Linked DNA regions of Bombyx mori. The protein of the gene in region 3 binds, or shares a complex with, the protein of the main gene of each other region. Links are inferred from orthologs where the notes say so. Each region holds a gene or a part of one and is shown on either strand. Other genes may lie near its edges.

Region 1 (3,760 bases), on a different chromosome or scaffold from region 3:
AGGGTACCTGAACCTTCAATATCAGCTCTTTCACCTGCCTATGAAAACAATTTAAGTTTGCTTCCACCACAAAATGCCTATATGCTACCAGAAGAATCTAAAGAATGTGAAGAAAAGCTGTAGTTGCTGGAGCTATGTACTTGTATTGCAACCTAATCTAAGCCATATTATGTATAAGTTTCTGTTGTACCTATGAAGACGACAAAAAAACAAGAACTGGATATCGGGCGCGCAATTACCTACGAAATATAGGAAAATGGCAGCTATAATCGGAGACGCTAAAGGTAATAACGCAAATACGTTAAGGTACTGGTGACAGGGCAAAGTAGCGTGAGTAGTTGTGAGTAAACACGGGTACCACCACCCTGCCTGTTTCTGCCGTGCAGCAAACTGCGTTTCGGTTTGAAGGGTGGGGCAGCCGTTGCCCTGTAAAAACGAAGTCAGTCTCATATCTCGAGGTAGGTCACGGCATTTACGTTGTAAGTGTCTATGAGCCCCGGTAAACACTTAACACGAGGTGGGCCGTGAGCTCGTCCACTCATCTTAGCGATAAAGTTTTTTTCCAAAACAAGAAGTTATATTTCGGTTGCGTAATTCGATTATCTAACAACTCAAAATTCACAAAATATAAATATATTTTTTATTTAAATATTTATTGCAGAAGTGTCGTCCGGCGGTGTCATTCGCCAAAGCTGACGGTAGTGCATGCTGTAACATTCTGGTCCAGCGAGATATTTCGGGACACCAGCAGCAACGCCTGATGCGGCCTGAATGACTGCCGCACCGGAACGGCTGACATAGTGTCGTCGACTATCATCTCTACCCCTTCTACTCTGTCCGAGTTTTGAACCCCTATATAGATCGGACGTCGGGTGAGAGAGTTCCAGGGAGGTCGTTTGGTGGATAGGGCCCCATAAACATCCTTGATCTCATGGTCTACTCCTAAAATCTGCAGACCGTGAAATCCCATATGCCCCACGCATCCCCTAGGGGCAGACACCTCGTATGAGGTTTGGCACCCTGTCCGAAAAGTCGAGTTCATATTGGACTCATAAGCTATTTATCACAAGGTAGGCAGTGAGCTCGTTCAACCACCTAATCATAAAGAATAAAGAATATTTATAATTTTAATCACACATACATATTGTTGATATATATATTATTATATACTCTTGATACACCCTCTTTAGAATCAAATAAATTAGGTGCTGTATCAGCATGTTCATCTAAGCATGCAAAGGCAATAAATTAAAAGATACATGACGTTTAATTTTGTTTATTTTATAGGTTATTGACTTTACAAGAATTATGGAATAATTTTCACGCATATTAGTGACTTTTGATTGTTCGAAATACCCTAAATATATAATATATGTCTTAATGTGTATTAAGAGCAGAACAAAGATTTGCCTGAAATTTCAACCATTGCAATATTTTGTCGTCTTTTTTGAAATGCAAAATCATATTATCGATCAAGATAATTATTAAAAGGCAACGATTTTAAATCGTTAAATCGAGTATACTATTAGAAGTTTCCCTTTGCGAATGATACAAAAAGTCAAGGCTGACAATGACAAACGAGACGTCACATTGACAATATTAAGTCAACAAACTTTAACCTCCTGAAGAATGCATATCAAAATAATATTACGGAGTAGAATTTAACGTAATGATTAGGAATATAATACGTACCGGCCGGTGGCTGGTGCGGCTGCAAATCAATAGTCTCGCCCCCATCGCGATACGAAAAAGCAGTAGTATACTAAAAGACTTCAGACTGAATGTTAGTTGTGGTTTTAATAACCGAAGATTATCTGATAATATCCGCAATGAAGAGGAACCTCTAGTATTTGAAGAGGCTTGCAACGAGACCTTAGAGTCGCTGTGTGATTTTTTTGAGCAGTTAATCGAAGATGCACCGAATTTGAAAGGAGCTGACGTAACATACAGCGTAAGTTAAATTTTCAATGTGGGTAACTACATACTTAACCACTTCTTACTTAATAATTTCTTTAAAGTGGACATTATAAAACCTTTTGCAAAAACTTTAGTTGTGAGAGAAACTGAATCCAATAATAAAAGGTGGAATTGAATGAAACAAATGCTTAAGTTAACATAAAATTTAATATTTAAAGTATGCTCTTCCTAAATTCCAGTTGTAACTTAAAATATTCTTTTCAAAGCGTAATGTTACTACACCATATTAACAGTCAATAATTTAAAAGAGTAACCTTATTTTCTTATTACATGTAATTTTCTGTGCGCACAAAGATTAAAGTATTTGAAACATAAAGAGTAAAGTAAAATAAACTAAATAAATACTGTTCTATACTGTTAAAACAGTTTAATTAATATTAAATATTAAAAACGGATAAAGTCTGTCTATATTTTTTATGGTCATCTTATCTGGTTATAAGAGTAGAACAGTAACAATTCTGATAGCATTTGAGACATAGACTTTTTTTTTGTATGCAGATAGGCATGTGGCCCACCTGATGGTGAGTGGTTACCATCGCTTATGGAAGTCAGCAATGCCAGAAGTAGAGCCAAGCTGCTGCCTACCATTATCTACCCTCCACAAGCCTCGTTTGAATAAGGATATGTTGTAGGGCTTGGGAAACACCGTGGAGTAAAGCTCATTCGAAAGCCGGATGGTACCTGGCAAAAAAGATCTCAGGAAACGCATTGTGGATGAATGCAGTGGGTCTACATCTCAAGGAATGTATTTTGTGGGATTTAATTAACATTTAATAACTGGATTGACTGTCAACTTGTCTACTACTCTAGAGCAAAAAGCAAAAAGAGGCAAAATTACATTCCAACAACATATCTTGTTGTAAGATATGCTTGCTATGTTCAATGTGACAGTTTTAAAGATTTGTCTTTAAAACAGTACAGTACAGTCTGGGCAAACCCAGACTGATAATGATAATGAGTAATGATAATATAAAAGCCCTAAACATTTCTGCCTCTTAATTCTTTCTTAGAAATAAAATAATCCATGTTTCAGGATGGTGTATTAACCATATCATTAGGAAAGCACGGGACATATGTGATAAACCGGCAGATACCAAATAAACAGATTTGGTTGAGCTCCCCCACGTCTGGACCAAAGCGCTATGACTTAGTTCTCGAGGGAGGAGGCTACTGGATCTACAAACACGATGGAGTCACACTCCACAAACTCCTGCAACAAGAAATATCAGTGATAGTTAAAGATAAAGTTGATTTATCAAAGTGCTCACACAGCTTAGTTTGAAGTTCATAAGAAATAAGAACATAGTGTGTATACTTTAGCATAAGCTTTGCTTTAGTTTCAAACATTAACTGAGGCAATCTCCTTAGATTTGGTTTGATTTCAGTTTTTATTTTATTTTAAATATACAGTTGTTTTTTTTATTATTGATTTTTTTATTTTATTTGATAATGGAAGTTATTGAGGATGGAAATATTATTGATAGGATCCCAATTTTGTTGCAAAGAGATTTGGAGTATTATCAGGTTGGTTTATCCAAAGTTTTTATTCAAATTAATAATAACATAACATTAATAATAACGTAATCAAAATTTCATAATAAAAAGCTAACTCAATTTTATGTACTAAATACTACTCAAATGGGTAAATGTCTTATTTATACACATATAAAATACTAAAATAATGACTACATCAACAGGCTTAGCTTTTTATCTGATTTCAAAATTGGTTCAAAATTTATTTAGGTTAATGTTAGTCAAGCTGCAGCTGTCTGCTTATAAATAA
Region 2 (3,670 bases), on a different chromosome or scaffold from region 3:
ACTACTTAATGACTGTCCCACCCTTCAAACCGCAACACATGGTTGCTTCAATTCAGAAATAGGCAATGTGGAACTGACGTTACTCCTTATCATCAGTAAATGCCATTACTGGCCATTCTCTGCTAAACTCTTTAGTACCTTATATACGGACCTCGGAAAGAGTCTAATTTATAATAACTGCAAGTCAACATCAGCACACAGCCTATTTCCAGTATTTCCAAAAAAGTTAGATTATCATCTTTAATTATCACACCTTCTCCCATTCGATTAGGTTAAATTATTTTATGATGCATACCTGTGTATATGCATACCACATATACATTTAATTGTACTTTTAGTAACAAAACCAATTATAATTATTTAAATGAAAGTTCTGAGACCCCTACAGATTTAATTTGAATAAAAAACTCTGCATTATACTATTTATTAGTCAAATGTACATTATACATTACAGATGTTTCATAATAATATACAATTATAAACATGAAGCTACCGCAGATTTTCGATAACAAGTTTTTCTGTTTTATACATATTTCCAATGGCTGCCTGTAAAACAAGATGATTTCATATATGAATTAATCACAATAGTTTAACCTTTTAGTGCAGTTAGATCAGAGGTGGGGTGTAGTGGTAGTTTTCCAATTACAGAGCATAATGCGACTCAGTGACGCACAATGCCAAATTATGCTGAAGCTTAATTGGAACGTGAATTAGTTTTGAAATGCATCAGCAGAGTGCGCTAAGTTAGCACAGTCTTAATTAACATTGATTATTTCTAAGAAACTACGACGAAACGAAAGCCTTACAATTTTTTTCAACATTAAATAATATTACTAACGATAATATAAACAAAATTTCGATCAATGCCAACTTAAAGAAAAAACACTTGTCAATTTTCTGTCACTGAGTCGGTATCGATTGCGAGTATCACGCGAGAGCAGTACTTTTGAGAGTGCTCAATTGTGCTTCGAGTTGCTGCAGTTGGAACATTCAACGTTGAGCATTATGCCGCATAATGAGCTCTTGTGCTGTAATTGGAAAACTACCAGAGTGAGCCTGAATAGATTGGTACCATAATCTCTCCCAGCTCTCTCAGCTCAGCTCGGCAACCACATTTTCTTATTTGAATGAGAAAAAGATCAGTTGTTTAATATTTTGATCAAATCAACATTTCAAACCCATCACAGTAGGGATGAAGTATACTTTATTTTCATTAATAGAAATTTTAGAAAATTGGTTCTCCTTTCCTGCTCCTGAAGACCAACACTGCAAAATGCACTGCAATAAGACTAAGGACAAATTGTAAAAAGCAAAAGGTGGCAGATTTCCCATTGTAATGTTTATAGACTACCGTTACCACTTAACTGATGTGATATAAAGGAAACCAAGATATAAATATAATACTTTTCTAAATAAAATATAAGCTAATTATCACATGTGTTTGATAACATAAATGAAACATATTCACACACCTGTCTCCTGATAACATTTAAATTTTCTTTTCCAAATTCAAACTCTTTCTTCACAATCTTAACATCAGACACATTTTTATTATCTTTAAAAGCATCTCGAATTCTTCTTAGTGCGTATGCTCTGAAAGGATGAATGGTTAAAATTTAGCATTTTTTGATAAATTGTTGATTAATTAATTCATAATTTATTGAGGCTTTGAAAATCTCGTTCATTTTAATTACTGTAACTCTGATGCTGTAGTTATTAATTGAGGCTGATTTTTTTATTTAATTATCTAATTAAGTTTGCTTAAAATGTGTCTTGTCCGCCTAAAAAACTAAAATAACAATTTAAATGCATGAAAATGATAATCATTTATAGCATCATCATCAGTCTACATAATTTTACTGGACATAGGCCATCCTCAAGCTTCACCACAGTGACTGATCCTAAGCTGTTCAAATCTGACAGATTCTCACAACTTCAACATACTGTGGGTCTACCTTCTGGAAGGATTACTTGTACTACAGATTTTGGTGTAGAGTTGCAATAGTGACCATTTTTTCTATGAGCTATATGCCCCTCACAGTGCTAATTTAAACTCGTTGATTACTTATCATAATGAGTAATTAATATTAATGAAGTGCATTAATATCACATTCATCATTCCATTTACCTGACTCATTTCAATTATTATCCAAATAATTGATTCCAAACAAGCTTGATAATTTTTGATTGCGTTGAAATTCATTTTTTTCGCTTTTTTTTTATAGCAAGGGTGGACGAGCTCACAGCCCACCTGGTGTTAAGTGGTTACCGGAGCACATAGACATCAACAATGTAAAGGCCGCCACCCACCTTGAGATATAAAGTCTAAGGTCTCAGTATAGTTACAATGGCTGCCCCAGCCCCTTCAAACCGAAACGCATTACTGATTCATGGCAGAAATAGGCGGAGTGGTGGTACCTACCCGTGCGGACTCTGAAGACGTCCTACCACCAGTAAATACATTTACTTAAGCCTAATAGAATTTGGTAGCCACATATCATGACAAAATTAAAAATGTATTGACTTTGTTTGTAATTTAAGAAGGTAACAAAATTATGCTTTTGTGTTCACTAGTAACGTTGGAGTAAATCTTTCATTTGTTTTAGGTTATATAATGGTGCAAAACATTACCTGAAATTATAGTTAGGGAACTTCTGGGATTCTCTGAGAAGCAATTTATAGAGAGATAATATTTGTATTTTAGGTATCGCGCCAGACATTTCGCTTTATTATTCGACAAGCTTATTAAAAACTATAATATATTGATAAAAGGTAATACCCAATGATATTTGTCTTACGAATTGTTATGACCAGTTATGACATTACACTCCAGTTTTTTTATGTAAACAAAAATTAGACGTTCCGTATTACACGGTGTTAAACCTTTATTTGTTATAAAATAAATTTATCGTGCAAAACTTTTGAATTGTGATAATAAATGTAAAAGAAGGTAAATTCGTAAGTTTCGCGTCTGGGTAGAAGTTTCAATTCGACTTTGATTATTAGTCACAATTTACACTAGTAAGGATGTAAATTTAAGTAGCCTTTGTCTAGCTACACTACAGGATACCGAAAAGTGTACATTGTCAATTTGGTCTAACGTCAGTAACATCTGATTTGACATTCCCGATGTTTTAATAACATTTGCGATCTGATAATTACAAATTCAAATATTGTTATGCTCGTCAGCCGTCATTCTAAGACATATATAGGTACTTACTAAATTAAACAGTGAGTTAAAAGTTTGATGAAATTTAAATTATTTTAACCAAATTATCCAAAGGAAACAAACAACAAAAGTACTTTGTTTACAAGACTAGCGAAGAAAATTGTCATATTTTTGTCAAAGAAGTTAGGATTTCTAGACCATTTTTAAAAATTCACTTGCCTGCACATTTTGTTGTGTAACTTAGCGGAAGATGATTACTAAACATGTTTTGTATGTAAATCACTTAATATGTGTTATGTCAAGTTATGAAAGTTAGCAAAGGAATACAATTTACATACCATGTAACACAAATATTACATACCATGAAATGCCTAATATTAACTTTAATTTTTAAAAACAATTTTCAAAACTAAAAAGAAATAAAGAGACTATTTCGCTTGGTCATTGAAATAATTATCAGGTTAAAATCTAAAATTCTAAACAGATACTATAATAATAAAA
Region 3 (3,760 bases):
ATCTAAAAATAGAAAACAACGCGTAACTGATAATATAAATATTTGCCACATAATAAAATAACACTGCATTGATAATTTTGAATAAAAGTTGTAGACAAAAACATCATGAATAAACCAGATTCTTACCAACAATTAAAAAAAATATTGTTATAATTACATAGACAACCCTAGAAACCTGTACCTATTTATACTTAGGTCGTTTCCATTTCACATATTCTCATCCCAATCGACCCCTTTTTCGTTGTTATTTGTACCTGAGACGTCCCCAATATCCCCAAAAACAACAGATTTTTACATGTATTTTTATTTTATCAAATACATTAATACCAATAACAACTGAGACTTACCTTTAATATAACGGCCGTCTGGTGTAGTGGTAAGTGACATGGTCACTACACAAGGTGGTCGCGGGTTCGAATCCCGCCAAGGGAAGATTATTATATGATAAATATAAATGTCTTTTCCAGGGTTATGGTTGTATATTAAATATATGTATGTGTATAATCAAAATCTTACATTTATTTCCGTTATCTGGTACCTGTAACACAAGTTCTTTACGAACTTATCACGGGACCAGTTAACGTGGCGTGATTATTAGTAAATATTTATTTATTTATTTATTTTATATATGATGGTTCAAACACTAATTTGCGTTTATAAATCACAGTCCTCTTCTATTATTTTAAAATAAATAAAAGAGAACAAAGTTTCTAGCACTAAAATAATTACCACCACAGAAAGTTAATTTGAAACACGATTTTTTATAAGTTATTATCATGCATATTCAGAGTTGTTTTGTGAACTTTCAACATTCTACTATTACACTACAAAAAATGGAAGATTTTGCAACGATTAAAAAACTAGTATTGCGCGTCGAAAGATTTTCCTGTTTTTTTCCCCAATCACCTCTCGATCCCTAATCGCCCCATTTTACGGTACCTATTATTGGTCTTTTTTGGCGGGAACGCGAGGAGTGAAGTTGTATGATTTTTTTTTATTAATTTTGTCTATTTAGTGTTTCTTCAGGTTTAAATGTGTAATAACGGTGGTTTATTAATCGTTTAATATTTGTGAAAGTGCACAAATGTGGGGAAATGAAACAAAGCCACTGAACGTAACTTCTCGGGATCCTCCAAAAAGTCCACTGAAAAAATCTCAGTAAATGACCACCATTTTACTGAGATTATATTTCATCCCAAATCATCTCATTTAATTTCATCCCAGTTTATTAATGTCTCAAATTAATCATCTTCATTTCATTTCACTCCATAATATCATTTTTTATAAAAATATGAATATATTTAAATTAAAATAAGACATGACTTAAAGGTCTTAGTTACCAGGTCACAAAATCCCTTTAAAAAAAACCCAACTATATAGTACTATATACTTGAAAACTTGAAACTACGTCCAAATATAATAAGTGTATAATCTATGACTACGTCGTCTAAAATATAAGAACGTTTATCATCTGAATTTGTTTTTCTGAAATATATAAAATGGCTTTTTTAATCAACGGAATTCGTCGATGTATGTGTCTTAAAGGCTTTGGAAGTCCTAATGTGATTCTTGCGGCACCTTATCATGCAAACGTAAGTACCTATATGCATCAAAAATATTTGCCAATGTCAAGGATTATCGATTTTCTACTTTGCGACGTAATTTTGGCAAAAACCTTGACCATCAGAAAAAGCGAGTAGGAGCTAATGGTCGGCCGATTAAAATGTTAATAATTAATTAAGAGTCTTTTAAAATAAACTCCCGGAACCATTCTCGATTAGAAATTATTTTCGAAATTTAGACATTTCTTGCAACATGCAATCGAAAATTGTATAAATTTTGGAAAGTATACATTTATAATTTCATTTTCTCTTAAGATTTATAACAAGCTCTTTAAGCTGTTTAAATAATAAAATAAGCCTCACGAGTGTCAAGTTTTTGTCGAACAATCCAGAATGTACATTCGATCGAAAATTTATTATTTGAATCAACTTTAATAGTAAATTACTTAAATAAAAATAATACTTAGATGGAAATATCCACTACCTTTTTTTCTACATGTATGTTTGTAGTGTCATCTCATCACCTACAAATTTTTCACCATAAAATTTTCAACTACAAATAAAATACACTTTCATTACAACCATATAGGTAAGAAGAAGGATACATCCTAAGTACTATTAAGGATTGAGATTTCAAGTAATTGTCTAATGTGAGAATTTAAGTTATGCAATATCTTCGCCCTAGTGGAAAAAGAGTGCCAGCAACTGTTTCACTGAGCTAGTCAAAATATTATTATACTAACTAAGGGATTTAGAATTGCCGATTTCAAGAAAATGTGAATTCATTGCTATCTAACCAAAGGGACAAACAAACAAACAATTACAGTTTCAGATTTATAAAATTAGTATGTATAATAAGAGTATACTTTATCTTACAGGTCATTGACCATTACGAGAATCCTCGCAATGTTGGTTCATTGGATAAGAAAGATAAAAATGTAGGTACAGGCCTCGTTGGTGCACCTGCATGTGGAGACGTAATGAAGTTGCAAATCAAAGTGGACGAGAATGGAAAAATCGTTGATGCCAAATTTAAAACTTTTGGATGTGGTTCAGCTATAGCTTCAAGCTCTCTTGCCACTGAATGGGTTAAAGGAAAAACAGTTGATGAGGCACTAAAATTGAAGAACACAGATATTGCTAAAGAGCTGTCCTTACCACCAGTCAAGCTTCATTGCTCTAGTAAGTTTTTAATTGTTAAACTGCAATTTATCAACATAGTAATGATATGTACAAAACTTTTTTTACTGGAACTGTAAAGAGTCAGAACATTTACCAAATTTTTTAAGTTCTTTTCATATGAATTACAGACACTAAGTACTTTAATTTGATACCACACACATGAAGCTATTGTCTGTGATTAAATAAAGCATCATATTTTACCATACTGAATTTTAAAATGCATTATTGGAATAACTATGGATTTGGTAATTACTTAATAACAGGTGGCATGTAAGCTTATTGATCCATCTCAGCAATAAAAAATGCTAAGGAAAAGTTAGTGTAACACAGAAAATATTCTGGTCCAGATACAAATTAAGCAAAATACTATCTACGGTCACGGTGGCATAATAATTTTAATGAATATGAACCATTGAATTAGGACCATTGTACTTGTGCCTTCACTCTGTGGTTGATTTATGATTAGTATACTGGACACTATAGCAGGGGTGGGCAAATATTTTGATAGTCGGGCCACATTGCAGATGAAAATTTGACCTCGGGCAAAACAGTTTTTTTTTTCTAATTTTAAGTATAGTTTTTGCTTAGGATGTCAATTAATAATTTTTTTATAACTTTTGAGAAAATTAGTTCGACTCTTCGAATTGAAAAATATGTTAAGCAAATACATGAGTTTCAGTTTCATTATTTCTTTAGTGTTTTACGATGCATGCACCCTCAGTAGATCTATATATGCTTTTATTTCGTTTAATTTTCTGCCAATTTATTGCGGACAGATATTCCTCCAAATGAAAATTAATATAAAATAACTTGCGTTCTACTATATTGCAGGAGAAAATGGCGGCTTTAGATTTAAGTTATTTTGTTTATTCATGCAATAATGTGATATAATAAGTATAATAACTAATAAAATTGTGCGACTCTTATACATACTGTAATTGTTCAATTATCATAATTATATTTTCGAATAGGAGGCGCTGAAAAGAGGGGTTGTCCGGGAGAACATTTTGGCTCCC

The links.
Region 1: iron-sulfur cluster assembly scaffold protein IscU (region 3) and frataxin homolog, mitochondrial share a complex: the UniProt entries of both Drosophila melanogaster proteins name them as parts of the mitochondrial core iron-sulfur cluster (ISC) assembly complex. The link is inferred for Bombyx mori from reciprocal best matches to the Drosophila melanogaster genes IscU and fh.
Region 2: iron-sulfur cluster assembly scaffold protein IscU (region 3) and LYR motif-containing protein 4 share a complex: the UniProt entries of both Drosophila melanogaster proteins name them as parts of the mitochondrial core iron-sulfur cluster (ISC) assembly complex. The link is inferred for Bombyx mori from reciprocal best matches to the Drosophila melanogaster genes IscU and bcn92.

Annotation. Positions count from the first base shown.
Region 1 is NC_085115.1:238,311-242,070, forward strand, and holds frataxin homolog, mitochondrial, read left to right. Parts: upstream 1-1,569; 5' UTR 1,570-1,669; coding exon 1,670-1,951; intron 1,952-3,010; coding exon 3,011-3,259; 3' UTR 3,260-3,402; downstream 3,403-3,760. Other genes in the region: carbonic anhydrase 1, read left to right, coding at 1-123; uncharacterized protein LOC134199323, read left to right, coding at 3,427-3,501. UniProt on the Drosophila melanogaster protein: Promotes the biosynthesis of heme as well as the assembly and repair of iron-sulfur clusters by delivering Fe(2+) to proteins involved in these pathways.
Region 2 is NC_085108.1:8,216,937-8,220,606, forward strand, and holds LYR motif-containing protein 4, read right to left. Parts: upstream 2,956-3,670; 5' UTR 2,721-2,955; coding exon 2,632-2,720; intron 1,594-2,631; coding exon 1,473-1,593; intron 547-1,472; coding exon 490-546; 3' UTR 409-489; downstream 1-408. UniProt on the Drosophila melanogaster protein: Stabilizing factor of the core iron-sulfur cluster (ISC) assembly complex that regulates the stability and cysteine desulfurase activity of Nfs1 and participates in the [2Fe-2S] clusters assembly on the scaffolding protein IscU.
Region 3 is NC_085129.1:12,109,238-12,112,997, forward strand, and holds the start of iron-sulfur cluster assembly scaffold protein IscU, read left to right. Parts: upstream 1-1,385; 5' UTR 1,386-1,499; coding exon 1,500-1,592; intron 1,593-2,440; coding exon 2,441-2,821; 3' UTR 2,822-3,760. UniProt on the Drosophila melanogaster protein: Scaffold protein for the de novo synthesis of iron-sulfur (Fe-S) clusters within mitochondria, which is required for maturation of both mitochondrial and cytoplasmic [2Fe-2S] and [4Fe-4S] proteins.